3 linked regions of the Arabidopsis thaliana genome follow. The protein of the gene in region 3 interacts with the protein of the main gene of each other region in a pairwise test. Each region holds a gene or a part of one and is shown on either strand. Other genes may lie near its edges. The genes, in order: AT5G46190, U1A and BTR1L.

Region 1 (11,874 bases), about 17 Mb from region 3:
ATCTAAAGAACCTGAATCGATATAGAAAGCAAAACTGTACCTTTCAACGAGTTTTTCTTCCACGATAACGTCTAAAGAAGCCATAGCTACAGCACTAGCTAAAGGGTTACCACCAAATGTGCTGATTTCACAAACAGAAAAAAGAAGAAGCTTAATAGCAGTCAAACCACTATATGCTAATTCAGGTCAACAAAAGAGCAGAGTAATGAATACGAACCTTCCGTGTTGACCAGGTTTTATATGAAGCATCACGTCTTTATCAGCAAGCACTGCACTTACTGGAATTACTCCTCCACCTAATGCTTTCCCAAGTATCTTTCAGAAAACAGTGTCAAGATGCTTTGCTCACGGAGGAAACCGTTAAGAAAATGAAATAAAGAGCTTAGAAAATGTAAAAGAACATACCACCATGTCAGGACGAATTTCTTCCCAATCACAAGCTAGCATCTTCCCGGATCTAGCCAGACCGCTTTGTACTTCATCCGCTATCATCAAAACATTGTATTTTGTGCAGAGTTCTCTAACAGCTTTCAAGTAACCGTCGGGAGGAATAATAACCTAAACCAAAGTCATTTTCAACATTTAGCAACAAAACCAGCATGAATCTTCCTATATTCTAGCTTGAATGGAGAAGCTTACTCCAGCTTCGCCTTGAATAGGCTCGAATAGAAATCCCGCTATTCTATCTCCCTTTTCTGCAATTACAATAGCATGATCAACTCAGTGGCTCAAGCTCAAATCTTAATCTCAGGAACAATACTCTCATTTAAAAATTGAAGCAGGAAACATTTCAGACCTTTAAAGATTTTCTCAAGTGAATCCGCATCACCAAAATCAACTTTAAGATTCCCTGGCAACAATGGCCCGAATCCACGAGTAGCATCATTGTCACAACTCATGGAAACAATTGCTAATGTACGTCCATGAAAGCAGCCACAACAAGAGACAATGATAGCCTGTCAAAGAAACTAGTATCAAATCTTTGATACCTGTTACTGCGAATAATACTCTTAACAGGAAAAAAAAGTTGTACCTCGTCTTTGGGAATATTTTTCTTTTCATGACCCCATTTTCTTGCTAGTTTCAAAGCAGTTTCGACACCTTCAGCACCCGTGTTCATAGGAAGCACCATATCATAACCGAACATGTTTGTGAGACGCTCAGCAAATACCGGGAATTTATCGTTGTAAAACGCTCGTGAACTTAAAGTGAGCTTCTCCACTTGTTCCTGCAATGCCTTCATGATCTTAGGATGACAATGTCCCTGCAACAATAAACAAAGTTAAGCATTAAAACACAAACAATGAGTCTAACAAGTAGAAACTCTCCGCATATTGTATCTTAGAGTGACGGGAAGCGGATTTGGAATTGTATTACCTGATTAACTGCAGAGTAAGCTGCAAGAAAATCAATGTATCTCTTTCCTTCAGGGTCCCATATAGTTGAGCCATTCGCGCGAGAAAACACAACCGGAACAGGATGGTAACTGAATTTTAACACATACAAGAGAAATTTACATTAAGAAGAAGCTAAAGTTCATAATTTTCAAATTCTAAAAGAAAGAACCAAGCATGGGAATCAAATTGGATATGAACCGTTACAATAAAAGATTATCAGCTTTAGTCATCATCATGAATCTTAATCAATAACTAAAAATAAAAGATCACCACTCCAGTTAATATATTCTCAAGTTTCAGAATCATGAGCTCTATACAGCTATGGCATGTACATATATACATACAAGTCCGATCGAACCAAACAAATCCCAAATATCAAAACTTTTGATGGAACGTGCAAAACCCAGAACCCAAAAAGAGGAAAGAAAGAGACTTTACTTGTGGGCACTGAATTCAGATTCCAATTCCATCAATCGTTGAGAAGAAGACGGAGGAGATTTGGAATTCGATTGTGGCAGACCGCCATAGCTCCGCCGCACTCCGGCGGTAGAGAATCTTTTGGACACATAGTAAAGCAACCGTCTCGTGGTGGCTGCCATTAGAGTCTTTCAGAGAATGAAGCAAACGTTTTTGTTCTTGTTTCCCTCTGTTTATCTAATATATTTGTCCTCTGTTCGTTCGTTTTCCTAGAAAATGATCGTTTTCTGACTTTCTCGGGATGGGCAAATTTTATCCGAATACTAAAAATATGGTATAAAATTTATTTACGGTTTGATTTCGGTTTTTCTTTTTGGTTGAACAATGTTGTAACTTTATTCTACTTTTAGACTCAATTTTCAATATGGGAATTTTTTATTTTATTTTTTCATTAACCAAATATGGGAAATTTATTTCTCAAATTCTAGCTTACAATCTAGGTTATTCGAATAATTCCAAGTATATTAAAAAAATCGGATATAAGTGAACCTTTTTGCTTTATAACATGAGTTTGAAAATTACAAATTGTCAAATGTTGTTTTTCTCTCCTAAGTTAATCCAAGACTTCCCCATAATCTCTTTTTTTTTTTTTTCTTCCTATTTAATGCTATACTTTAATTACTTATGTGATATGCAATAGAGAGATTAGAAGAATTGAACTTGGTAAACACTTGATCGAAATTCACATTTATATTAGAAAAATGGAAAAGCACTTTAAAGTTGCGTAACGTAAACTACTACATGACCATATATGATACAAAACCTTCCAAATGGATCAACATCAATCTTTCTACTAAGAAACTTATCTTCAGTGGTCTTTTGATCAAAACGATGCTCAAGGTACTATACAATTGCAACAACTAAACTATTATTCATCACACTCGTGAAACCCATTTTTTACGAAATAGGAATATAGGATCTGCTAAAGATCAACACACCCGCTTAAAATCCCGGGATGTGTTAGAATGTTAGGCTTCAACCGCAAAAGCTAAACCAGAAACAGTATATAGAAATGTTGTGGGTTTCCAAAAACCTAGTATTTTGGGTTTGTCAACTAAATGCCACTCTCAAGGGAATAGAGCAAACGCTGAAGCCAAAACACAGCAGAATCAGAAAACCGTTTGAAGAAGTAAGTATTGTGGTTCTAATGCAACAATCCTACGGTGCCAACCTAGCCAGCGCCGAGTGTCAGGCTTATCAGAGAAATCATCAAACCGCAAAAAACTATATTGTGGCTGGTTTTTGACAGCCTAGTATGTTGTGGAACCTCAGCTTTATAGGACAAATCCCAAGCCCGAAGTGTTCGAGCGCAAACGCTAGCATAATCAGAAAATCTTTTTGACAAATGCTAATTTTCATGGAGAGACAACCTAATATGTGGGAATGGCCAGAAAACACATAACATTCACAAAAGCTTGTCGCAGCCTGGCAGGTTCTAAATATGCTACAAGCACTATAAGATCATGATTTAAGTTTAATATAGATGATCAGAGTTCCGGGGAGCTTATCTGGGAAGAGAATAAATCAGAAATGGTAACAGAGGCTAAGATAAAGAAGATCAATCAGTGGAGTTTGACCTAAAGATAGTAAAATCGTAGCAGAGAATGGGATGATCATCAAGAATGAGAAATTCCTCTACTGATACTCTGATAAACCGATGGAGTTTCAAATAATCAGATCGTAAGATCAAAGCACTAACAAGTTCAAACTTCTAAGAAGCAGAAACAAATACGATCATTAACAAGAGGAGATCTAAAGGCTACTGTTCTTGAAGATCACTATGCTATAATAACCTATGGCTGTTCACTGCAGAAATTTATACAGAAACACCAAGAACTATGATATGGTGAGTATCACTTGGCATCACATAAGAAGCTGAGAAGTGGGATTTGCAGAGTCGGTAAACTAACACATAACTGATAGGACTGCTGCTTTGGACTAAGAACAAAGCAGATCTGATTCCACATATGGAGAATAAGCAAAGTTTGATTGATATAAGAACGATTTTGTTTTATTGCACGGAGATAAGTAGTTATAGTACGAACAGCTCGCAAGGAAAGGGGAAAAGAATGGTCCTGAAAGACTATAAAATGTCTAGCACGAGAAACCAAAAGTAACTGAGTCGAGATGAGATACCGAAATGTTTGATGAGAGATGCAACCATATCTAAACATGAGCTTGATGGAAGGAGGAAAGCCTGAGAAACCCGATCAAAGAAATCCACTGAGAGGTAGATTGATGGAACACACTTCCATGGAAAAGGATTAAGGGGCAGAGCAAATTATTCAAGTGGACATGATAAAAGCTTGGAACAAGTTCTCTGCGGTACGCTTCTGTTCAGATGTCCCGGAAATGAGAGCAACGCGACCGCCATGGGAATTTTTGGAATCAGAAATTTCTATCATGGCTCCTGATATCTGAGAGAGAGAGAGAGAGAGAGGGCACATACCATGTGAAAATGTTATATAGGAAAGAGGGAAGAAGAGACGAATGAAGCTATGGCAATCAGAGAGTAATGAGGAAGGAAAAATAAAAATAAAAATTAAACAAACCCTTCTTATGTTGTCCAAGTTGCCTCCTCCTCTGCCCATAACTTTACCCACTGCATTTGCTGGGATTCGAACCTCCATAGTAGTAGACTGAGGCAATCTGTGAATTCACAAGATAATCAACAGGGAAAAGAGTTGAAAATATAATACTGAACAAACGAAACTAACTTGCAAACTTACCCTCCATATAGATTGGATGAGTAAGAGGAGTTGGATCCATAACTTGTATTGCCCACCTGTAGTTAGAAAAACTTAAGTTATAAACACAGAAACTGAGATCATCCATTTTGAGCAGAAGAAGGAAATGTTACCGGAAAACTTCCATAACCATAGATTCCACCACTCGAAGGAAGCATGCTCATGCTGCTCCCGGTTTCTGGTCTCCTATTGAAATCTACAGAAGCAACTTGCGGAACAGAAGACATGAAAGATTGAGGAAGTGCAAGACCAGTATTACTACTACTTGAAGAGAAGAAATTGTTATTCTCAGATCTTGCAGGAGGTTGATTCCTGGAACCAGTCTCTCTATCCCTTAAAACATCATCTCGAAGCCTCAGAACTATCTGAATAAGAGCATCTCTCACATTGCTTACTTCACCAGATATCTAATAAAAGTAAGCAAAAAGAATCATTTACACTATTGGAGAAATTGAAGAATTGAATAAAACAAAGCTGAACGAATCTAAGAATCATTACCTCAACGAGCTCATCATTGGGATCAGCACACTTAGGCGTATTATTTCCTTTCGAGATATGAATATCGGCCTTTGTCCTTTTCCTGATTTCACTTATGATTGAGCCACTTTTCCCTATAATGCATCCTATTACCTTAGAAGATACAAGGAGTTGCATTTTAACTTTGTCCTCGTCTTCATCATTAATTTTCTCTTGAAGTAGAAGAACAGCTTCAACCGCCATAGACTTCAAATCATCAGGAGACTCTGTAGCAGTGACAGTGATAACACAGTCATCATCATGATTTGTCCTCGAGTCATTAACTTCGATATGAGACCCGCTTGCTTGTCTTATTCCCTTAATGGTTAATCCTCCTTTCCCGATAACACGACCAATTTTGGAAGAAGAGCAAATAACTTTTATAGCCAACTTTTCTGATCTGGAAGACCCACCAAAACCATGAACAACAGGAAGAGCAGAAGCAGAAAAAACCGGCACAGGATTTGCAGCATTTTCTCCATAACCCTGAGGTAGTGTACCGATAAACGATGAAACATTAGCCCCATGTTGGAAAATAGAATCCTGACTTGGGTATAAACCGGCTTGTGGATAGATAGACAGATCAGAGGGAATTATAATACTAGCGGGAACTTCTTGGACAGTTGTATCCAGAGGAATCTGTTCTCGAGGACTGACTTTGTACATGATTGCAGAAACAGCGAAAAGTGCCTTCTTCACGGATTCAGTCTCACCAGATATCTAAATAAATAAGAATAAGAAACATCGATTAAAATAAGCAAAGAAACATATGCTAACAAATTCTACTGGAATTCTGATACTAACCATAACAATGTTGTCAAAATCCATGGCACAAGTGTGAGAAGGATCAGAAACATCTTTAGAGACAACCTTAACGTTAGCTCTAGTTCTACCTCTAATGTTCTTAATAATCGAACCAGATTTACCAATGACAATAGAACACTGACTAGACGGAACTAAAAGACGACATTCTCTAAAGTCATCTCTATCAATCTTAGTGTTCTCAGCAGCAGTAGCTAAAGAAGCCACAATAGCATCATGGACTTTAAGAAGAGCAGCTTGAGCAGAACACAAAGGAACAGAGTAATCCAATTCACTATACTCAATGTCAACAATGTCTTTCTTCTCCGAAACCGAGCAAAAGATCGTTATGACTCTTTCGCTACAACCTGGAAAAGGATCAACAACTTTGATCCTAGCTCTAGTTTCTTGCCTAATCAAGTTAATAACTTTGCCACTTTTGCCTATAACACTTCCCATGACACCACTTGGGCATAAGATTCTGTAAACAACAACGAGATCGTCTTTGTTATCGATCTTTTTTTCTTCGGATTCGTAAGAAAGTCTTCTCCTTTGATTCCGGTTGTTGTCATTGTTGTTGTCTCTGAAACGATTGTGAGTCCTCTTCCCACGCTCAACCATTGTTGTCTGTTTTGCAAATTACACAACCCTAAAACAGAGAGACAAAAGAAGTACAATTGATCAAAAGCAGAAGCAATGTATTCTATCGATAGAGAAATCTGAGAGGAACCCTAAAAAAAAAAGAGAGAAATTTGAGAATTGGGTGGATAAGAAAAAACTGAAAGAAACGATTTTTATGATTCAATTTGAAAATTCGTTAATTGGATTATCAATTCAAGCGATGAACATACATACAAGGTGATAGAAAATTCTAAGAGAACTTCAATGAACAGCGAGAGGCCTCTCGGGAGAGAAGAAAGAAGAAACTTTTGTTCTAAATTGTGTTAGAGAGAGAAAGAGAAAGAGAAAGATTTGTGATTGTCTGATGCAGAGTAGAGAGAGAGAGAGAGATGACGGCGATGTGTTAAAAGAGATTTTTACTTTGATTGATCTCTTTCGGTTATATATAGTTAACAATAATATAATATGAAGAAAGTCCCTAACTTTTGTTTAGATTTGGTGTTTAGCCCATTTTCTCAGAAACAATATTGTTAAACCTAAAATCTACTTTTAAGTTTTAAGGCTTAAACGGTTAAACTTGTTTAAATATTTATTGATTAATTACGTTTAGATTTTGATTCTGCAAAAAAAAGTACTTCGTTTCACATGTTATTTCGTATAAATTAATACTTTATACTTATCTCGTATACTTTAAACTTGTCTTCGTGTACCGGTTTCATACTATAATAAGTAAAATAACTATGTAATAAAACTAATTTAATTTTTTTTCCACCAAAAAAAAATTAGTTTAAATTTTAATCGCGTAAACAACATATCACATAACAGTGATTGGGTTATGGGTATTTACAAATTTTTTTTATTTCGTTGAGACTAAAACGACGTCCTTTTAGTCACTTTTACTCCTAAAATTCTTAAAATCCATTTGTTCTCCTTAAATCTTCGATTGCTCTCAAAATCTTAATTTAAAAACGAAGCCGAAACAACGATTCTCGAAAAGATCAACGAATTCGTACGAATGATCATTAATAATAATCGACTCGAGATTGACTTCATTTGCAGCATGTGTTGAGAGTGTAGGGATTAGAAGTGGTGCTGGACTATCTTTAGACGTTCCTACACGTTGGAATTCAACTTATGATATGCTTGTCAGAACTTTAAAGTTTCGTAAGGCATTTGCTAGTTTGAAAGAGTGTGACAGAAACTATATATCATTTCCTTCTAAGTATGAGTGGGATCTTGGAGAGAGAATTTGTGACCTTTTGAAGTCGTTTAGTACCATCACTGCCTACTTCTCAAGTGTCAAATATCCTACAACTAATGTGTATTTTCTGCAAGTGGAAAATTGAGTGTCTTTTGAAGGACTACGCAAACTATGGTGATTTTGGAGTGGAATAGATAGTTAGTAAGATGTAGTTAAAGTTTGATAAGTATTGGGATCAATACAGTATCATTCTAGCTATGAGAGCTATTCTAGATCCAAGGTTGAAGATGCAGATTCTTAAATCAGCTTATAATAAGATGGATTCGAGTAGTTCAGAAGAAAAGGTCAATGTTGTTGTGAAGAGTTTGAAGGATCTTTGCAAAGAACACATGGAAAAGGCTTAAACTTCTTCCACCTTCTCAACAACACACACTCCACATGAACTTCTTTCAGTTTAGGCATTGTTCTAAAATACTTTGTACGTTAGTCGTACGGTAGAGTACCATATAGCGTATAGACAGTGACTAACTGATATTATTAGTTCTTTAAAATTTTCACTCTACATGGAGTATAATAATTGATGTAAATATTTTTTAACATTAACATGAATTAGTAATAAATCGATGCAAATTATATGCATCTCTACTTTAAAGTCACTTATTTAAGTGATGCAATTTTTTTTTACATCATCTATAACTAATGCAAAATATATAAGAAATGATGTAAGACAATCTTTTTTTTTTGTATTGGGTGGATATTTTTTTTTGTTTAAAAAATTATATATATAGATAAAAACTTTTTGTCAAGATATGCATATGTAATTTCAAAATTATAATAAATTAAAACATAAGTATAATAATCATGATGACTACTATACATGAATATAATAATCATTTGTCAAGTTAAAAAATTTCACTTTTCTAAAATATTTTTAATTTTTTAAGAAAACTACTAAGCATGAAAATAATTAAAAACAGAGACCATATTTATGCATGTAGAAGAATAATACTCTTATCAACATTGTCCACCAGGTCCTCCAAACGTAAGAGTCTCTCTGGAATCATAATCTACATACTTGAGAAACATTACACCATAACACTTACGACTATCCACATACTGTTCTACCTCGTTGGCATTAATATCCACAACTGAATAATCCGAAAGAACATATTTAAGCTGTTTCATGAAACAAGACCGACTCAAATCTTTTGTCGGAAACTCTCCAGTTCCCATTGGTGGGCTTGTCGTCGGTTGAGACGATGCAGTGTTTCCTGCAAATCCACCGAAGTATACTTCAGAAGCTCCATCTACCATCTGACTTTGACGTGGCCAATAGCCTATCATTATGGATCCTATCGTCAATACCCAATTTTTGGTCACTGGATCCTGCATTTGTACATACACATACATAGCTTCAAATAATGTTGACTAAAAAAACTAAAACTTTTTTGAAGTCCAACGTACACAAAAAGTCAACATGTAAAACGAGATAAACAAGTAAGACTACATTTGTTTCTTAAATTAGGGTTTTAATTTGTACCTCAGCAACAGAAAGATGGACAGTGTTCTGTTTTCCTCCTAGAGCATTAACTTTATCATACACCAAACCGGGGTAGATTGATTTATGAATTTGAACATAACCTCCTGGACATAACGCATTGTAACATCCTTTTGGATGCTGATCTGACTGTAATAATATAGAAAATATTTGATTATGCTCATACCAAAATTAACCAAACATATGTTAATCATGAAACTCGAGAATATATACAGGAAATCATCATCACTCACCATCCAAAACGTAGTTAGTCTTGGACGATCGTCTGAATATAAATTCGTATGCACCTGTAGTGAGGGATCGAGAGAGAAGTTTAGGGGTTAAATCTGAATAAGTGACAATCTTAGTTTTGTTAAATTGATCAATGGAGTTTGAAGTAAAATACTTACAGCCCAACCAAACTGGATGCTGCTCATTAAGCTTCCTTGAATGTAATTAAGCCAAATCCAAGCCTTACTAAATTGATTTTGCACCACTCGGGGCTTGTTAATATTGAACAATGCTTGTGCTCCACGCCATTTCTTTGTCGTGTTTTCAAATGTCCTAACAATTGCATACTACAAAAAAAAAATCAATTACTCATATATCTATTTATACTATTAAGATAATCATCATCACCAAATATGTAAAGTGGTTTTTGCAGCTTGAGGGTACTTACATGTAGATGTGTCTCTGTAAATAATTTTGGCTGGTGGTGAGGAATCTTATTTTTTTGAGACAACAATGCAGAAGGGATCATGAGTTTATTTTTATTTTTTTTACGTCGATTGTTCTTTTTCTTCTTTTTATCCCTGCGACTTTGTTTCAGGATACGGCCTGAAATAAACGAGAAAACAAATTGTAGTAAAAGTTAAAAAAAAATATATATATATATATCTTAAAGATTTAAAAACAAATACAGAAATTCTAAGTTTCTAACCATTTCAGAATAGAAAAAAGTGTAAATAGTTATATTTGTGTTCGTAATTACTAGTTCAAATATTTAGTTTTATATATTGTTAACATTGATCTTTTTATCAAACATCGTTACAAATTATAAAAATAAAAGTAATTACAAAGTATATGTTTATTGAAGATGTACACTAGACGAAGAAATCAATATAAGCGTAAAAACAAAATCAGCCCTATGTCAAAGTTGATTAAGACAAGAGTACTTACCTGCTCTATGAATTTGTTGGGGATGAATAAGACTATTGGTTAAGTTGGTTTTTTGTTTATGAATCGGTACTTGTCCCTTTGGACATTCTTCTGATCCCTTCAAATCAATCTCTCTGAGTATGTTACCATTGGACGTAGAGAGTATTGATAGAAGCTCTCGACTTGGTCTAGTCTACAATAACATTAATTTAGGTTTTATTCCAACATATTTCTTTATAAAACATGATTAGTATGTTTAATTATGGCAAATGAACAATACCTGTATGCGATGATTCTTCATTAGAGGATGTTGTAGTGCAGATTGTTTGTCTATAGAGACACATTCGAATTCGCTTTCTTGATGCTGCAATACAAATCCAGCAATAGCAATATGAGAATTTCATTAATGAGTTTAGTATACCAAATTACTTGTTAAGGAACATACCGGAGTTGATTTAGCGATAACATTGAGGTATATTAGACTTATGGAGATTAACTTCAGCCAAAGAGAAGCCATTTTTTGTTTCCTTTTTCTATAGAGCTTCTGTTTACTTCTCTTTTGTTTTTATTTTTTTGCTTTTGATTAAAAAGGCTTTGCATTGGTTACAAAAATAGGAAATACCCGTCTTTTACGGCTAAACAAACTATGAAACAAATTTAAACCATATAGGTAGGTGCGGGTCTTTAAGGGAAAGGGGGAATTAAATCGTTAGCAGTTTTGTTATTGACTAACAAAATCCATTTTGAATAACTAAATCAATCGTAAACGACAGTTTCATTCAAAATTGAATTTCTATTTAAGGGTTTTAGTTTTTTTGTTTCTTTTGATATGGCTACATTAAAATCACTCACAAACATTCATCATATATGTAGGCAAACAATCCTTCTTCCTAGCTACCTCTCATGTCTCATCAACTTTAGCTAAAGACAAATAAATTTTATAAATATTTTAATTTTGACTAGCAAAAATATTCGTAAACAACATTTTCATTCAATTTTTTTTTCATCAAATAATTATTTTTTTCTGAAATCCAATTTTCTTTACATAGTTCGTTTACTTTCCTACTACAGTATGAAACCCGAACTAAAAAGCTGTGGAGTCACTAGATTGAAGCAGTTGGACGATGAGTCAATATATTTCCATTTTTCTTAAATGTACGTGTAGATACATTTAACTATTTCACAAACCGTAGTATGAATTTTATTCAATTGTCTTTCAGTTGCGTACAATATTGATCAGCCATAGTTAAATGTCGTTAGGGACGTTCATCAAGTAAGCAATTTGATTCTCTCTGTTCTTTCTTTAGTTATTTGGTAGTGGTAAAAACAGAAATGCCTATAATGTAGTGTAAAAAAAAATCCGATTAAACTTAAGATTTAATTGCCTAAAAACGAAGAAAAAGCTCTAAGAACTATCTC
Region 2 (8,811 bases), on a different chromosome or scaffold from region 3:
CAGCAGCACGGCGGAGAGCGGCGGCGGAGGAAGGATCAACGGGACGACGAGGGACGATGGAGAGAGGGGATTGAAGAGGGTTAGCAGCGATGGTGGATTTGAAAGAGATTCTGGAAGAAGGAAAAGGAGAGACAGAAGAAAGAGAGAGATGAGTGAGAGAAGAAGCCTGCGTAGGGATCTTAACCTTGTTTGGATGATGAGCAAACAATTTGAGAAATTGAGTCGAGGATGGGAACAAGGTCAGAGAAAGAGATGCGATTGGTAGAGAAGAATGGAAAATGGCAAGTGGGTTTTGTTCTTCTGCGGATTTTGTTTCTGGGTTTAGGTTTTCTTCAACATTCGAAGAATCCATTTTGTGTGTGTGTGTGTGTGTGTGTGTAGAGAGAAGAGAGTGAAGAAGAGTGTGAGATGAATTGATAAGCTCTCGTCGATTTTCCCCACACAATTTCTTCTGTTTAGATCAAATATTTTAATAAAATGTATTTAAAATATATCGTAGCACTGTTATTTTATTTTCAACTTTAGAAATATTGATTGATTTTTTTCTATTATAAACACTACTAATGAAGGAAAAAAATACGAATTTTCTTAACATTTTTAAATCCTATTATAGTTCTGAACAGTTTTATTGAAATATATTTTGTCAATTAATATAAAATTTGAAATTAAAATTTTTGAATAATAAATTTATTTAAAATCATAAAGGTCTCAATTATAAGTTTCCTATGTTTTATCATTTTGCCATTTTTACACATATAAAAAAAGATTTATAAAAATGAAGATAAAACTAACATTATTGTAAAACCAGAATAAAAATTGAAAATGACAAAATTAGAGATTAAAGTAGCTAAAGTACAGTTTCTGATCTTCAAACAAGTGATTAATTCGATCTTACATATCATGGGACTCTCCATATATTCGTTCCATTTTGTGTATATGAACCTCTGATCAATGCGTTACATATGCTGCAAAAACCATCACAAAAGCTAAATGTATAACTCTGTAGGTAATTTGAAACGAATAACGGTCCATGCAGTGAAGTATACAACCACAAGTTCGAAAACACTCTCGTAATTAATGCAAGCCAAAGAGCTCAATGAGAACTATATATGGCGAAGACAGAGCTTGAAATTACCCTTTTAGTTTCATGTGCATTGTGCACCGTCAATCCCATCTAGAAACGCTACATTTTGGTCAGCACACAATAAGGTTCAAAATAACCAAAGCAACACTTACATATATGAGAACTATAAAGATTTAATCAACCGTCGAACACAAATGATTTAACACACATATACACACAAACAACGAAGAGCTAGTCAAGAACAACGAAAAACACATTATCAATAAGGTTTAAGGGATATATAACATCAATGGGTGAAGAGCTCATGTTGGAGAAGTTAAGTACGTGCAAATAAGCAAATGAGACGGATTTCGTGTTTGTTGGTTTGCACGTGCCCTGCTTCTCCAACATGGAGATTCTCACCCGCATTTCCAAGCACATGAGGGGCGTTTGTAGTATGAGAACTTTGGTTATGGAAAGGTTTGTATATATAGGCCCAAAGATTGCATTAATGGAAGACTAGCTCACACGCACATCCGTATATGTTATGTGTGTGTGTGTGTGTGCTGGCGTGAGTGTGTTTTACGTAAGGCAAAAGAACCATACCATGCCATGATGGCATCTCACGCAAAAGAAGGGTTGAACTAAAAAAGTGAGAGAGTGAAGAGAGCTAAACGATCGCTAGCTAGGGCCAAACAATACCTTGTCTAATAACTGCTAAGTTTTGAAAGCTTTTTTTTATTCCATATTACTGTTTTTTTAGTGTGGGGGCTTGTCTGCCCTAAATTTCACAAACTCTACATATATAAGTGCTAGGTTGCTAGGCGTACCATATTGTCTTATTGCTAGGATCCTATGAAGCCGGTCACGCGTTGACAAGCAAGACCTTAGACCTCTCTTACGACTAATCTTTAGCTAGCATCTACTCTATGGCATGGTAAAAAAATACAGTATCCATATTCTTTCACTTCATTAGAATGAATTACCGGTATATACCAAAATAAACTGGATATCCACTAGTTCCTCACTAATAATAATCTACACTTAACTTTGTTTCAGTTTATATTGAAACTCTTCAAATTCAAATATTGATATACATTATACGATATATATATATATATATATATATCTGTAAATTTTCTACTACATAAATGATTTTTTTTTTTCCTCTATCGATCGATATGTATGTATATCATGATGATAAATGCCGAAGCATAAAAGAACCATTTGAATTAATAACATACATGTGCGTGAGAGAGAAGGGTCAAAAGGGCAAGGTGGGTCGTCAAAGACTGTTGGGGGCAAAAGAAGAGAGGAATAATGAAAGAGTGCACGTAGGGCTTTGCGTGTTGTCCTAACTTTCTCTAACATGGAAAAAAAAAAGGTCCCTATGTTGATACCATTCCTCCCTCTTTCATTAGTTGATTGTGTATATTATATATATGGTCTATGATTAATGTATAATCCTCCTCAGTCCACACATGGACTCAGGATAGGTAAATATGATCTCTAGATTAATGGTCTTACTATAGCTAGTTAAATTGTTATATAGTAATTGAAGATGCTAGCAAGTGATCCATTAATGTTTAAAGTGGTGATTCATTGGACATATACATAATGACCCATTAATGTTTTACTACTAAGTACTAAGATAAGCTAGTAAGCAAGAGCTGAGATACAGAATAACACTAATTAGGCAGTGTGTGTCACACAGACCAGAGAGGCAGAGATGAATCAGCAACAAATCTTTTGTCTTGTAAAAAGAGGAGACAGAGTCAGACAATGAAGTCATCACCAAATCTATAAACACATGCATTAATGCTTTTACGTGTCCGTATCACACTCGTGTTTCCCACTAAATGCTCACTCATTTATTGAACCATCGTCTAATTAATGCTTTTGATAACTTAAATGCATGGAGGAGTGTCCTTCGCCCAATATTTCAAAAAAAGGAGAGAGCTCACTCAATTCTCTTGACGCACGAGTTTTGGACCTAATAATCGCTGACCTCATCAGCAACAAAGAAAAACAGCTACACTACAAAGACTTTTCTTTCACCAATCCAACATCAAATAATGATTGCTTCTTGTTTCTCTTTTATTAGATATCCAAGAATTCGTAAATAAAAAAGAACAAACCAATCATCCATAAACCTTTAGTTTAAAGTTCACTTTGCGAGTTTTTTACTTTAATTCATTATAGTTTCGTTTAATCAGTCAAATTAAAGGTCTTCAGTTATCTGATCAAATATGGAAGAAGAGGCTTATCCATAAGTGGAAGAAGGTGACGAAATATTAGATAGACAAACACCAAATCGAGACGCTTATTGTCTGGATGAAAAAATTGTAAGTTAGATGATTGTGTAATATTCTAAGCAATTCTACAACAAACACACAAGAAAGACAAGTTTCCTTCTTGCGCAAACCATGGAAGAAGTAACATTGACAGATACAAACATATCTCATCGAAACACAAATAAAACGAAATTGTCTATTTCTTGGCATACGTGATGAGCATCTGGTTTTGCTGAATCTTGAAACCTTGAAGTCCCTGCATTGCGACCGTCGACTGCATCTCATCAGCAAACTCCACAAAGGCGATTCCCGGTTTGGCTTCAATCATTCTAACTTCCTTAAATCCTTGGTACTGGCAGAACAACATCTGAAGCACCATTGGAGTTGTCTCGTGAGGAAGGTTTTGGACAAAGAGAATATTATTTGGCGGAGCTGGTGCCTCGGGCATATTGGGTTTCATACCACCAGGGTATGGTACTTGCGATAGCTGTGAAAAGCGTGGCAATAAGAACGATCATCAGAATACAGGAAAAGAATTAAGAGCGTCCCCCAAACGTATGAATCAAGATTAGAGTTAAGAAGATGTTGAAATAACTCACAGGAGGTGCAGCTCCATAGACACCTGGATATGCTGAGTTCATGGGCATGCCCATCTGTGTAGAATCATGGTGCTGGTCTTTCTTTTTCTTGCCGCCTCCTGCACTTCCAAAGACGATATTTAGATGCGAAAACAAACTGTTTGTAGGTTGTGGAGAAGCAATGTGAATGTGATGTGACTACTAATGATCAAATGCAGAATGTGGGAATGAGAAACAGAGCAATAAATCTCATGTACACATATGCAGTAATGGTCAAAGTGAGCCAATGAAGCAATGAAGTAAAAAAAAAGTGTCACCTTTCTCCTCATGTCTCTTTCTCTTCTCGCGAGGAACAAATGTACCATCGGCCTTGGCAACAACATCTGATTTTGTTTTGGCATATTGTATTCTCTGTCCACATTGTTAAAGTTAGGAATTAATAATATAGCAAAGTGATTGATAAGTATTTCCACAACCTAAAACATGGTCAATAACCTAAAAGCAACCACTAAACATATAAAGGGTCTTTCAAATAGAATCCATGTGGTTCACTAAGAAAAGCTCTCTAATCAGTAGATTCAAACCCTAATTAGGTGTTCCACTAACTCTAGGGGCAAATAGGCAAACCAAAACACATCGAGTAAGAAGAAGTTATCAAGAAAGTAACTGGAGTGGAAGGAATTGGTACCATCTCCTTGTCGTAGAAAGGAAAATTATTCATTTTAGCAATAGCAGTGGAAGCAGACTCGGTGTTGTCGAAGACTACCCAAGCTTGTCCTTTGTGCTTAAAGGTCTTAAACGCCAATATCTCCAGTATCTTCCCGAACTGAGAGAACACTGCATTCAGCGATTTCTTCAGCTCTGTAGAACAAAGTTACCAATAACAACAATGAAGAGATCAATCAACTCAAATCGGAGGAGAAGAAGAAGATATACGAGACGATAAAACAAAAAAAAAAAAAAAAAAAAAATTAAGTACCATCAAGCTTCACTTTTTCGTTGAGATTGTTGATGTAAATCGTCTGATTCGGAGAAACCTCCGATCCTCCTCCTTGATTAGCCTCTTGCATCTCCATCGTCTTCACCAAATCTCTCCGTCGAATTCGGAGAAGATTATTAGCCGGAACCACCCAAAATCGAATTAATAAAAAAAAGTGAGGTTTAACTCTGTTCCTCCTAAAGCCCTAATAAGCCCATCAGTTAGCCCAATATTCTTATTAGTGGGCCGATTAATATATTTAGCCCATCAAAAACCCTAAACTGATACATATTATTAGTAGTTTCACTTCTTATCTTCACTCCCAAGCAATCTTCGGTTCTGCTTCTTTCTAGATTTTGACTCTCACTTTGGGCTTCTTCTGTGTGTTTCATCATTTTAGGGTATCGATTTGATAGCCGGAGGTAAGAGCAAGAAGACGAAACGTACTGAGCCTAAATCCGACGATGTCTATCTCAAGCTCCTTGTCAAGGTTGAGGATTTGACTAAAAATCCGTCAGAGATTAAATTTTTTTTTTTTTTAGGCGAACCGATATCTGGTGAGGAGAACAGAAAGCAAGTTCAATGCCGTGATTTTGAAGCGTTTGTTCATGAGCAAAGTGAACAAAGCGCCACTGTCTCTCTCTCGTCTGGTCCGATACATGGACGGAAAGGTTTGAATTTTGTTGTTGTTTAGGTTGTTACTGCATTGAGTTCGATGTTATGTTACTTGGTGGCGACTCATGAACTAATGCTCTGTGTGTTTGATTTTATTAGGATGGAAAGATTGCTGTTATTGTTGGTACTGTGACTGATGATGTTAGAATCGAAGATGTTCCGGCTCTTACAGTTACTGCATTGAGGTTCACTGAGAGCGCTAGAGCTAGGATCCACAAGGCTGGTGGAGAGTGCCTCACTTTTGATCAGCTCGCTCTTCCGTGCCCCACTTGGTCAGAGAACACGGTATATCCCATTCTTGTTTCACTCTTAGTTCAGTTGTCGAAATGTGGAAACTTGTGCTAATCGTTTACTTGTTCGTGACGTATGTAGCTTAGTTCAGTTACTATGTCTCGTTTCATGATGATTGGAATTTGAGGTTACTGTCCTAACTTTCAAAATCTAGTGGCTTGTAAGCCTTTGTTTAAAAGGCTATCTCGATGAAAATTAGAGAATATCTATCTCGAGGACCACTTGTACTCAGTTTACAAGGGTTATATTTTCACTTTTTATTATTGCAGTAGCGATTGATGTAGCATTCCGTAATGATTGCAGGTTCTGCTTAGAGGTCCTAAGAACACACGTGAAGCAGTGAAGCACTTTGGACCAGCTCCTGGTGTGCCTCACAGCCACACCAAACCGTATGTACGTCAAACTGGTAAAAAAATTGAGATAGCAAGAGGAAGAAGAAGGAGCAGAGGTTTCAAGGTCTAAGCCTAGCTACGAAACTTCATGGTCAGTCTGTGTATGACTTGAGTTTATCTTTTAACTATTATGGATTATACTTTTACATTGCTATAATGATATATATATATGAAAACTAAGTAGGAGAAAATCTTTCTCTCTTTTAGTTCTGCTTTTGCTCCTTATAGTATTTGATTTGATTAGTTATCATAAATGGCAAATTGGATTTCTGATGAACTAGAGTAATACTTGAAATTTTTCTGAAGTAATCGGTTACCTTTCGACTTTCAAAACTTGTCTTTTCCTTTTTTATTTGCGCATTATCGGGTTTTGGATTAGATCAAATGTTTGATCCTTTTTCATTTGGGTAACTCTCTTTGTCAATACCTTTAATTGATCCAAAAGATCTTCTCACGCTATGATTAGATTGTGTAAGTGAAGAACGTACGTTGGGTTTCCTCATCTTTGTAATGTCTAAGATATTGGCGTCAGTCACTGTCTTTCTTTCTGATTGCTAATAAGTAAGCTGGTACGTGTTATTGTTCCAGTTTTTCTTTAATCTTTTGGATTCGAAATGACTTGAAAGAAAGAAAACCAAAATAAATAAATAAAGGTGAGGCAAAAAAACGTTACAAGGAAAAAAGAAAGTAATAAAGGGGAAGAAAGGGAGAGGAATGCGTTGGCCATGACTAGGCTCAATGTATAAACCTTGACTTGGTGTTACATCATATTACAAAATCAAAATTTTGAAAAAAGAATTATCGAAACTACTTAGATTTATCTAGTACTATTTATTCTTAATATATCATTTGTTTACAATTTTACTAAATATAAAAGTGACCTTAATTATAAAATAATTTGTGAAATAAATTGTGTTTTTGATAAATAATTTACTAAAATAGGGAATTATTTTATTTTAAAATAGATACTAGTAGCGCTATCCTTCTTTATTTTATTGTATTTACTTCCTTTTTCTGTAAAATCAATTCTTACTTTTTCACAAATGTCCCTATTTTCAGCCTAACTCTTTTGTAAATGTTTTTCTCTCTTGCCTTTTCTTGACTACCAATATCCTTTCTAAGAAAATTTTAAAAAGAGAAAGTGGTCATCTGAAGTTTCATAGAAATGTGAATGATTATTTCTTGTATCATCATTTTATTAACTGAATGAAATTCAAACAACAAAACATGGTCCTAGATTGCATTTTATTTTGGTGTGTCGTAAATTGATTCCATCGGAAAGGAAACAAACTAACAAAGATTGTTTTTGATATTTTGGTATGTTTTTTTACTTTTTGACAACTTTGATAGTACATTATTCTAGATTTGCCGCACGGCACATCACATGGAAGGATGATGAAAATAGAAATATATCCCAACTTGGGGAATGTTTTGACCAATGGGCAACCTTATCTTGTTCATCAAATCATAATACAATCTTTTCTCTCTCTTATTGCTGTTGGTTAAACAATAATCAAATAAATTACCCAACATGGCAACTTAAGTGAATACCCATAGATTCGCTATTTCTGCGGCCGACGTATGAGCAAACCCGTGAATTAAAAAAACAACTTGTACATCGAAATACTATTTTAAACAACATTTCACTAACCTTGGCCAATATATTAAAACTACGTTAACTTTTTGTATATTTATAATAATTGTAATGCTGTTGAACATTGAGAAGCAAGAAAAGTAGAAAACTGCGAAATTGAGTGAGAAATGAAAAGAATAATAATAATGGTGATGGTAACTAATTATAGAAGAGCATATAATTTGTGACCCATGTTGTCTATGAGCGAAATAATTTTTGATTTTATAACTATTAAATTTAACATGAAAAAGGTGTATAGTATCAAATCTAAATCTAAATGAGTATATGTGATTTTGGGGGAAATCACACACCATTGTCATTTGTATATTATTATATGGTAGACCAATGTTATATATATTTTTAATCGATCGAGGTAGACCAATGTTATGTAAAGTAGAAACAAGACTGAAAAAGGCGTAGAGAGCAATAAGGTCGTAATCAATTTGTAAAACAGACTAGAAAATTCCAACGGAAATCCAATTTACATTCCTCTTCACGACAAAACACTTATTAGGTTCTGATGTGTAAAAATGGTCTTAAAGCCATATTTTTGAAAATGACTCAAACGAAAGGAAATGAAAGAAAAATATATATTTTTATTACTAAAAAGCAAGAGAAAACAAGTGCTAGAGCTAGCCTAGAGATCGATCCATCAAAGCAAAGCAAAATGAGGAAGGCCATCTAAGATTAGCATCTAAGCAAGAACAATATAATGATATTCGTCCGTGTGTGTTTATTAAGTTATGCATGAATTTCTCAGTTTGACTCGTGCATATATACCCCGTGTGTGTTTATTAAGTTATGCATGAATTTCTCAGTTTGACTCGTGCATATATACCCCGTGTGTGTTTATTAAGTTATGCATGAATTTCTCAGTTTGACTCGTGCATATATACCCCGTGTGTG
Region 3 (10,801 bases):
ATGGGTTGATGTAGACCAAACCAGCTTTGACATATTTAGAACAAGGGTCTCTAAACAACCTGCACGGAAAGAAAAGAGTTACCGAGGAGAGATGAATGCAAAGTGTTAACTGGAATCGCATGTTGAGCGAGTAAGACGTAATTCTAAAAGCAGAGACTGCATTTACCAGTACTGTTATCACCGCCCCCAACTATATACCAGTTTTCGTCAATGGTGATTCCAGCGTGTCCTGCCCGAGGAGTTACAACATCTCCCTGAACATGAGGCTGTGACCACTCCATCTGCCATGAGTAAAGTAAATTCATCAGAATATGACTAAATTGGCAAAAAAAATACCAATAAAATGTGCTTACTTACTGTTTGCAAGTCAAGGATATGAAGATCACTGTAGAAAATCGAATGAGAACAACCACCAAAAATCAAGAGGTAGCGATCAGAATGTGTGGCAGCTGTGTGATCAAATCTGGGAACTGGGCGTGTCTGCCTATCATCCAAAAAAAAACAATACAGAGCATTTACTTGTAAGACGAGGTAGACAGAAGTGCAGTAAACATAAGCATGGCCTAGATCTAGCTGCCTGCACTTTTACATAAACTTACTTTGTCTCTACAACATCCCAAGTCATTGTCTCAAGATGAAGAACATGCAGATCATTCAGCAGTCTCCTGTTCTTATCTTCCCCACCAAAAACAAGAACTCGGGATCCAACCAGTGTAATGGAATGTCCACCACGTGAAGCCTAGAAAACATGGAAGATAATATAACTTAACTATCCAAAACAGCTACATATGGAGTGAGCAACAATTTAGATAACAGTTTTCTTACCGGAACATTCCCAAACACATCAATGACTCCACATGAATGTGTTTCCAAATCAATGAACCGCACTGTAAGAAAAAACTCAAACACATAAATAAGAAATTGAAAGAGCATCCAATCAGAAGGAAAGCTGGATACGGCTAACCTAACATGTTATCTGATGACTTCTTGGAGTGTCCCCCGATCAAAAGAAGCTTGTTTCCCCACTTAATCTGCCAAAATGCTTCAAATTTAACATTTTTTTTGAGTATTGATTACAAAATTCTTCTTCATGTTAAGAAAGGACTTACCATGCGATGGTCTGAAATAGCAGGAAAAGCTTCCCGTAAGCTGCTACCATCATCCTCTTGAATGTTATCAGCACTTGATGATTCAGTTTTCAGTTTCAAACTAGACCAAGTCAAACTTCTAAGATCAAACACCTGATAAGTTGAGTTTTTTTCAAATCACCACAGATTCATGAAAACAAAAGGAAGATACAGACACAAAGAAGAAACACACAATTTACCTGGACATCAGATAAGTATCGGCCATTCCGGCTTCCACCAACAATGTAGAGCTTCTCATCAACAACCACTGCCGCATGCTGCGTCATCCAGACAACACACGAAAAGATTTCAGAGAAATTATCTCCAATTTAATCAAATGCTTAACCACAGACAAAGATATAATCAGTGACCTTGTAACGAGCTGATGCTCGAGAGCCAGAAACAGGGAGTGGTGTCCATTCATCGTGAGCTAGATTTGAATGCCAATCACCGACATCTATTTCTTTCCTGATCTCTTCCATTACCAGAGAGACCACGTCACAGCTTCACTCTGCCATTTTTGAGAACAAAAGAGTTTCGATCTAACAATTGGATACAATAAACTCCATAATCAAGTAGAAACGACTTCTAAAATCCAGAATTGAGCTTATCACGATCCTTCATTTTCCAACAATGAGATCCTAGTCTTTCTCGGAGACGATCACGAAATTAAAGTTGGGGACATTGCAATCATACAGAGATCTGAACACTAAATTTGAAAGTGATTTCACGAAAGCTAATTAAGTGATAACTGAGAAATAAAGGGAAGGAGAAACACCAACATAAAGTTAGAAACCGAAATGGCGGCGATGACCAGAGCTGCCGGAGAACGTGAATGGTTCGGAGCCGGAGAGGGAGAAGGATTGTGAGAAGCGAGATCGTATCTCCAAGTGTATATACTAATTAAAAAGTTTGGGTCAATTACGTACACTAGCAAAGGATATGGGTGCTTCTGTGTTTAGTACCCAAATATTAGGGGTACTTCAGAAAATAGAAAACTGTTCCTCGTCATATATATAATTATCAGAAGATACAAGTCTTACTTGTAAATAGTAAAAGATCCGAGCACTTGTAGTTAAATAAAAGTTTCAGGATCCATAACTTGATATTTACTGAAGAGTCTGGGAGAAAATTTACAAGATCTGAATTATGTAAATAGAGAAAAGTAAGGGTCTGATGTGTAAACAGCAGAAGATAAAACTTTTACGGAGTTGATTTTTGAAGAGCTTAGTATTTACCATCCTCCTAAGTCCTATACCGACACAACACGTTTTGGTATCATGAACTGAAAATAGTTGATAAAAGAAAGAAGCAAATGCAATGTAATGGCTGGTTATTGTAAATTGTTACAACAGAAAGAACTCAAGGGAAACAAAACTTCAACAAATTGCAACAAAGTTATTAAAAGAACAAATGAAAATAGTACTTCTCTAACTCCAAATCTGCTTCTCTCCCAGAGAAAAACACATTATATAATGTCGACATATAAATAAAACGAAAGAGAGCTCCTAGAGAGAAATCTCTGCCTCACTCAAAGATGATTAATGATCCCCATCCGATAGCTTAAGCCTCCACAAATGAAGTCAACAGACCAAAGATAGGAACCGAGATGGATTCTCTTAACGGTTTCAATCGGTGGTTCTCTCTGTGGCTGAATCAACTTTCTGTTTTATCATTGTCTCAGCTTGTTGGATTGCTCTCTGTGGCCCTGTGATACTCACTTTCCTGTCCATATTTTCCATTTATATCAAGTTAGACATGAGAGGTATCAAACACATTGTTCTGTTGTAACTCTCCAATAATCGTAACTTTACCTATCAGTGGTTCCAGACATAAAATCACCTCGGTCTGATATTTTAATTCGGGCACCAGTCATCTGCGGGAAGAAAAGTGGGTTTTAAGTTTCAGTGGACCGAAAGAGTTTTAACTAAGGGTTGCCAAATACCTGAGTGATTTCCATGATGTTTCTTCCTCCACGTCCAAGCACCAATCCTATATGCTCATCCGCAACACCAATTGTCACCGTGGTACTAGCTTCTTCCTGGAATATATGTCAAAACACAGCTTAAGTAATGTAGAAAAAAACGAATCTCTAGCTGTTTAAATACCAAAATGCCATCTTATTATCACAGTAAGACGTGACAGGAATTGCATCTCCGATCAAATTTATTTTCGTAGTTTGGTTCATTAAAAGCATCACCAATCCTTTTAATAAGCCTAATTCCTAACAAATATCAGATGTAGATTTCACATTGGTATCTCCTAAAGTTTCTGTAGTACGAATTGATCCAAACAATCATAGTAATAACATCGATAGGGATTTTTCATGTATATATGCGTTTACATAAATAGGGTGGAAGATATGACTTGTAACACCATATTATCCATAGTAGTAACACAAATAGAGATTGATTCATATAAACGCATAAATACTAATAGGGTGGAAGATTGTGAGAAGAGGCTAACCTTGTGGTTTTGATACTTGCCTCCAGAACCGTTGGGTGCGTAGTTAACCGAATTGTATCCCGCTGTTGCAACAGAAGGAAGCGCATACGCATATGGAGGACCATGAAAACCAGAGTAGAAAAGACCTAAAATGCCGAGTTTAAAGGAACTTACAAGAGAATTAAGCTACAACAGACAACCATCATACACAACCCTCAAAATGGAAAGAAGGTCCATGTGAGATGAAAGATACTAAATGCCATTACTATACCTTAGTTGACATCTGACAATCTAAAACTCAGTAGAAAATCCTACTCTAATCTTACATTTTTATCAAGGGATATGATCCAGCATCTACACTTGACACTTAGATTGTTCACATGACCCTAAAACAAGAAATCAAAAACCTTGTACTGTGATTTCTAGCCTATCTACGCCTGTCCATGTGTAGTGACTAAACAGTCTTAAAACAAATAATTTGATAGTGTCAATTCAATTGTCAAAGGAAACTCCGGAAATGATCTAACCATTTACTATATTGCTTTCCAACATGAATAAATGCAATCAAAGACATACAGAACACGATAACAAAAGAAGCTTCAAGGAGGATAACAAACCTAACTAAGCAAGTACTGAGTTGATATACCTGCATATGAATATGGGGAATGCACATTCTGGGAGTAATGATCGTCCTCAGTAAGCTTAGCCAAAATCAAATCGATTGCCCGCATCTGCTCCTCGAAGGTCCCAGATAATGTCACTAACCTATCGCTCAACCCATAAAAGGTATTATCCAGAGGGGATATCTTAATACCAGCTTTAGATTCCTCAATGAATGACCTTTTTGCAAAGAAAGAAATGTCTTGAGGGTTAGTGACAGCAGTACAACTGAAATCAGTATTCCTTGGAAAAAAACATAAAAGCAATGCCATATTCTAGAACTTAAAAGGAACTAGATATTCCATACGCATAAACTACTGCAATCTGAGTCATATCTAATACTCAGAAACTTTGTTCACCTGTTATATATAGGGTCTTGACTTGTTTATGCATGCATTCAGAGAAAATAATTGCTCTCTTAAAGATATGAACCAGAGAAGATTTGAACATAGAAACAATGCAAGAACATAACCAGATACATTATAGATGATATTTGGTGGTTAAGCGTGCTGTAGGAAATGGTGTCAAAGGAAACAGGCTATGGATTATAGAAGGTCTGAAAACCTCAAAGAAACTGCTGCAACAAATACAGAACGGAAACTTACTTGATGGTGGCCCCTCCTTTTCCGATTATACCTCCACAAGAACTGTTAGGAACCACAAGTCTAATTCTTCTCCTAGGCTCAACCTCATTACCATCTTCAGCATGAAGCTAGCAAACAGATAGAAAAGTTAAAACTGATTTCATTGTGACATACTATATAAACTAAATAAACGCAACTGTGACATGAAATACAAATTTGTCAAAAAAGATTACCTCACTGTGCAATTTATCAAGGATAAGTTCCAGTCCATTGACAACTTCTTTGATTGATCCCGATATCATAATAATTCTGTCAGTCGTCCCCGGGAAAAACTCTTGATTACGTGAAAGCTGAATCCTTGCCCCAGACTTTGCCTGAAATTCAGTGATGGTCGAGCCACCTTTCCCAATGACGGAACCAGCTGCCGCATTGGATACAAGAAACCGAATGTGTGTTGGCTTCTCAGCAGAATCTGAAAAGAGGAAAACACATTAGATAGTCAAATAGATAGCATGGTTCACTAAACCGCATCAGTATTGAGCTAATCATTGAATTGAAACAGCGTAATTTAACCATCCTTGGAAAATGAATCTATCACACAGGAAACATTCTCACAAGTTTTCATCAGCAAAAAAAGACATTAATCACACATGTCCGTTGACATATCACAGAGTACTTAAACGAGATCCGATTCACGAATGTGACGAAATACCGAAACAATTGAGTCAGAGTCGAAGGAGAAAAAAAAACAGAAGACCAGATCGGATCGAAAATACCAGCTTCGGAAGAATCATGCGGTTCAGGGGATCTCTTAGCCAGCTCTTCCGGTGAACCTGCCGCATATGACTCAGTAGACTCCATTGCTGCTACAGAAGATAAACGGCATTAACCAATCGACATTATCAATTCAATGAAGAGAAATAAGAACGAAATCGGAGAGAGAGGAAGAGATAAGACTCGTTCATCGAAATCTGAGATTGAGAAGGAAAAATTCCAAAGTTTACCTGTCTTCACACAATTCGAATCTGCTCCCTCCGTCGTCGTCGTCACTTGGCGCCGGTGGTTAAATGAATCTGAGCAAAACTAAGTCTCAATCGTCGTATCGGTGCTTCCTCGGCTTCTTCGTCTTTGTCGCCGAGCGGTTTGTGAAGTGAATGAAGGTGGCTCTGGTGTCCTTCGTCTATCTATCCACTAGCCTCCCTTATTCTATTATTTTTTATTTTTCCTAAATTTAATTTTATTGACCGCCTCTCTATTTCTTTTTTAATTTTTTTTTCCTCTTTCACAATCATCTCACTTTTTATTTGTTAAAATATCAAATCAACTCAACTACAAAATGTGTTAACATCAAAATGTGCTACGAAATAAAACATAATTAGAAAATAAAACACCAAAATTATCATTTTTCTACAATTTTAAAGCAATAGAATGAACATGATAATAATAAAATAAAAATGGCAATATGTGTCTTTTTCTCTCTATTTTCTCATTTTAGAATTTGATTTTATTGCATTGGTTTGATTTATTTTCATAGTTTGTTAGATCTTGAATTGCAGTAAATATATGTTTATCAAATTGTACGGTAGAGTTGACGAAGACGATAGATACGATTAATGGTAATGCATGTTTATGATTTGAATCGGTCGATTTAATAATGTAAGTTCAATATTATTATAAGGTGATTTTGGTTTTTTAGCCCGGCAATAATGGGAAGTGGCTCTTTAGCCAAAATAAATAATGGGAAGTGGCAACCTGTGTTTTCTTCACGACTACAGATTCATTGGTTAAAACCTTCAATAAAATAATCATGTTATTTTGTGAACTTTAAAATTAGTAATCAAATTCCTCACACATTATTATTTTCAATAATTAGATAACTCTTTTTCGCATTTTCTTAATTAATTTTGTACTCTTTAATTAGGAAAAAAACTAATTATTTTAATCAAAAATACTGACAAGTGTTATGGATCCAACCGAGTCTGGTTACATGACATTTTCATATTTACTTACTCAAATTGCGAAGGTTATTCGTTGTTGGCCCAATATATACATTTCACGGGCTCTTGTTGGGCTTGCTTTCAATATTCAGCGTATTTTAACTGTAGCGAACGAAACAACGTCAGCAGGCTAACATGCGCAGTCGAAGCAGGTGGTGATGGTGGTGCCACCTCCCAAATCTTCGTCGTCCCAATAATCTTATCACGTTTCTCTCACTCTCTCTCCTTCGCTTGTGTGTTTAAGCTAAGCCGTTAGTCGTTAAACATCTCATATCCTAAAACGCCGTCGTTTTAGCTATGGCGTTGAGCTCAGCTACGCTTAGACTTACCTCTCTGTCGTTCTCGGCGAAGAAGACGAATCGAAACCCTAGAAATCCAGCTCTCTCCTTCACCATCACTAGCTCATCGTCCTTTGACGAATCACCCAAACCTTCTTCTCTCGCCACTTCCTCTTCTACGTCACCTATACGCGTCTCCTCTAGTTCTACCCCCAAAGCTCGATTCATCGCTCGTCAGAAACAATCCGTCTCCGTTCGTCAGCTACAGCGACCTCTAAGTAACTTCAGCGCGATTCTCTCTGATCTAAATTTCTGTTTCCTGTGGATGATTAAATCTGGATCGGATTGTTTGATTTTGAATTTGCTTTTTGTTTATGGTTTGCAGTTGAGTATATGAGCTTACCTGCGAGTCAGTACTCGGTGCTTGATGCGGAGAGGATTGAGAGAGTTGATGATAACACGTTTAGATGTTATGTTTATACGTTTAAATTCTTCAACTTTGAAGTCTGCCCTGTTTTGCTTGTCAGGGTTGAAGAACAGCCTAATGGCTGCTGCATCAAGCTCTTGTCCTGCAAGGTAATTCTTCTTTTGTTCTTTTGGAAATGATTGAATTTGCAAACAAAGAGAGGAACTTGTGGCGTTTAGACATATGTCAAATCAAATCCAGTTATGATTTGTTAAGACTGTGATGATTTTTGTATTTTCTTGTGCCATATAGCTTGAGGGATCTCCTGTTGTGGTTGCTCAAAATGACAAATTTGATGGTAAGCATATCCCTGTATACGCTTCACTTTGTTAACCCGTTTTGAAAGTACTGCCATGTTGTCAAGTTTTGTGTACTGAAATTATTTAAATTTAGTGATGGTTGTGTGGGCTTAACATTTATTATTTTCTAGTCATGCAGCTTCTATGGTGAACCGGGTATCATGTGATAGCACTCAGGAGGGCTCATCAGAGCAACAAATTACTTCAGATGCAGTCATTGAGGTAGCTAAGTTCTTCATTTTTTTTCCTTTTGCTTAGTTAATCAGTGCATTGCTGTGGTATCTCTGACTTACTTGGCGATTGTAGGTCAATATCGAGATTCCTTTTGCATTTAGAGTCTTCCCAGTGGGAGCAATAGAGGCGACTGGGACACAAGTTCTTGATCAAATTCTTAAACTCATGCTACCTCGATTTTTGTCACAGGTATGCAGGAAAACAGATTTGTATTATTACGTTTTAATTGCTTATTCTGCATCAACGAGGTCCGTTAAGCGATCATTTATTTCTCTATGGCACTATGGTTTTTTAGATAGCAAGATCGTCCTGCTTGAGAGGATTAGTCTGACATCTGAGGTTTCCTGTTGATATTTGAGAAGATCTTTTATATTTGAGCTGTTTGATGAGGCAATATAACATGTTTTGGGCGTTATTTATGTTGGTAAAGCACATGTTGAACCAGGACTCAGGTTTCAGATTAGCCTAGGCTTCTATGGTTTCCTCTGTAAAACTGGCTTGTTGATTCTTTATATTTATGTGCTCCTCCTTCTGCATATATGAACATAAATACATTCCATTGCCTGCAAAATCATCCCAACATTAATCTTATCATGCTCTTTTATTCATTTTGCAGCTCTCCAAAGACTATCATGCATGGGCTTCGGGAGACACTTCAAGGCAACCTCTTGGGACCGGTGAGATCTGATAGTAAAGCAAAAGCTACCGTACGTACCTGGTTCAACGATCCTGTGCCTCCTCGAGTTCAAATAGGGGATGATAGCAAATTCTCGATCTTTTTCAATGTGGTATTCGGGTAAAATAATCACAAAGGAATCTGTAGTCACTGGAATTTCAACCCTTTTCAATAGAATACGTTTGTTTGTTTGTTCCACTGTAATCTCACGGTGTGTCATGTTAATGATCCAACCGAAAGTTCCTTAAACGGATCTCCTTTGTACCAAAAAACTGTCTGGTAGAACTAAAATTGAACCGATAAATGGATGAGCCGGTTCATTGAATACTACTTTTCTGAAGAAAAGCTTTCTCGCTGCATGTCATTTGTGAAGATAACGTGTTTAATTTCAAAATGAAGCCAAAAACAATTTAATGTTTTAATCAGAAGTCATTTGCAACTTGTAGACACAAACGTTAAATTTTAGTCGGTGAGTACTTTTGTTTGTGATTCATGTCAAACGTAAAACATAAAAGAGAACCATGTCAAACGTAAAACATAAAAGAGAACCATCTAAATTTATCTTTTGAAACCTATTATACTTTGACGAAAAAAAAAGCCCTATTATACAATTAAGCATGAGTAAAAAAGAAGCAAATGTTCTAAGCAACGGAGAAATAATTTTTCTTATCGGTCCTTTTACAAACGACAGCCATATATCATTTGTGCGTATCTCAAAGCAAAAGTCTCTTCTCTCTTTGAAAAGACAAAATCAAGCAACTAAGCAAGTAATGCTAACTTCACAGTTACAAGACAAAAGAAGACATTCACATAACGGTGAAACAAGAAAGATTGTGTTTGATATGTTTTCCTTTAATTTCGGTTAATTGGAAAATATTGTCAAGCCATGCATAGCCAAAGTAAATGTAGTTTAAGTGAATATCCTATTCACATTGCCTGAAATTTTCAAAACAAAAAGATATAGACAAAAGATCAATGCATATGTGATATGTCGACTAGCTAGTTATACAAATATCAAAATTTACTAAGTTAAAGATGCATGATTGTATATGGATGTCGTAAAATGTTAAAACCAAAACGTGCGTTTGTTCCCTCTCAAACGAAAGTTTGTGACTTCGAGAAATATTTTTTTTTTCAGTAAAAGACAAAATAGTGAAGAAGATGCAATGCATGAGTTGAGTCATATACATACTAAAGCGTTTCTAGTTTTTGGAGAATTTGCTAAAACCGTAAGCAATGATTTTCCTATAAATATCTAAAACACAATAACTTTCTTTGAAATAACTAATCACAGCCTATATTTTGTTTTCTAAACACAATCACAATGTCTTATCATGATAAACATATATAAACGAAGAAGGGAAGAAGATGAGTGGATATTATAGAAAGAAAACGTACGTTTGTGTAATTTATATTAAGCGATCAGTGAAAGACGTATGTGACTGATGAGACCTAACATAGACCCAAAATCCATGCAACCTTGTCTTTCGTCCCAATGCATTTGTACGCTTTCTCATAGACATTTTCTTATTTGATTATATCATTGATTAAAGTATAATTATAGAGAATGAAAAAAAAAAATCAACTATGCCACCATGTGATATAATTTATTTATTTTTCTTGATTATTGCATGTGAGAATATTGGTTGGTACGAAACCCTCACAAAGATCGATCCAAATTGGGGAAATATTTTTAGTGTTTATATAAACATAATTAACGCAATCTCTTTATTTTGCCACTAGGAAACTGAGCATTATTATACAAAAAGTCACATTTTATTTTGCCACTCGGACTCGGTTCTTATATTATATAATAGGTTATCTTAGTTTTGAAAAAATATGGCCATGAAGGTTATTAAGAATTGCCTTTGCCCATTTATGATACCAATATATAATTGTTTTTTCTTTTGTGTGTTTTAGTACCAAGATGTAATTGTTTGCTAAAGTCTATGAGAATACCAAACCAAAATAATTTGAGGATATCAGAAATAAACAAAAATAATAATATTGATAATGTGGTGTGAAGTTTGAGCTT

Evidence for each region.
Region 1: the proteins of BTR1L (region 3) and AT5G46190 interact in a two-hybrid assay, tested with the Arabidopsis thaliana proteins (one large-scale study listed by BioGRID).
Region 2: the proteins of BTR1L (region 3) and U1A interact in a two-hybrid assay, tested with the Arabidopsis thaliana proteins (one large-scale study listed by BioGRID).

Annotation. Positions count from the first base shown.
Region 1 is NC_003076.8:18,719,276-18,731,149, forward strand, and holds AT5G46190 (RNA-binding KH domain-containing protein), read right to left. Parts: upstream 6,975-11,874; 5' UTR 6,794-6,974; exon of another isoform or gene 6,790-6,793; intron 6,728-6,789; exon of another isoform or gene 6,588-6,727; 5' UTR 6,560-6,587; coding exon 5,942-6,559; intron 5,858-5,941; coding exon 5,120-5,857; intron 5,029-5,119; coding exon 4,735-5,028; intron 4,660-4,734; coding exon 4,604-4,659; intron 4,524-4,603; coding exon 4,160-4,523; 3' UTR 2,477-4,159; downstream 1-2,476. Other genes in the region: DELTA-OAT (ornithine-delta-aminotransferase), read right to left, coding at 41-121, 218-315, 406-558, 640-695, 797-956, 1,034-1,264, 1,378-1,486, 1,836-1,996; AT5G46200 (carboxyl-terminal proteinase-like protein (DUF239)), read right to left, coding at 8,775-9,146, 9,301-9,447, 9,552-9,605, 9,708-9,875, 9,977-10,134, 10,477-10,648, 10,736-10,819, 10,901-10,972.
Region 2 is NC_003071.7:19,513,429-19,522,239, reverse strand, and holds U1A (spliceosomal protein U1A), read right to left. Parts: upstream 5,054-8,811; 5' UTR 5,012-5,053; coding exon 4,915-5,011; intron 4,797-4,914; coding exon 4,624-4,796; intron 4,347-4,623; coding exon 4,253-4,346; intron 4,055-4,252; coding exon 3,957-4,054; intron 3,845-3,956; coding exon 3,554-3,844; 3' UTR 3,327-3,553; downstream 1-3,326. Other genes in the region: PHR2 (photolyase/blue-light receptor 2), read right to left, coding at 1-352.
Region 3 is NC_003076.8:1,247,847-1,258,647, forward strand, and holds BTR1L (binding to TOMV RNA 1L (long form)), read right to left. Parts: upstream 6,108-10,801; 5' UTR 5,821-6,107; intron 5,680-5,820; 5' UTR 5,678-5,679; coding exon 5,593-5,677; intron 5,289-5,592; coding exon 5,050-5,288; intron 4,945-5,049; coding exon 4,838-4,944; intron 4,413-4,837; coding exon 4,219-4,412; intron 3,719-4,218; coding exon 3,594-3,718; intron 3,169-3,593; coding exon 3,073-3,168; intron 3,004-3,072; coding exon 2,942-3,003; intron 2,853-2,941; coding exon 2,756-2,852; 3' UTR 2,402-2,755; downstream 1-2,401. Other genes in the region: AT5G04420 (Galactose oxidase/kelch repeat superfamily protein), read right to left, coding at 1-59, 167-281, 358-484, 600-739, 826-887, 965-1,031, 1,110-1,241, 1,328-1,405 and 1 more; AT5G04440 (RAP release 2, galactose-binding-like domain protein, putative (DUF1997)), read left to right, coding at 7,111-7,369, 7,477-7,667, 7,810-7,855, 7,996-8,078, 8,163-8,279, 8,707-8,778.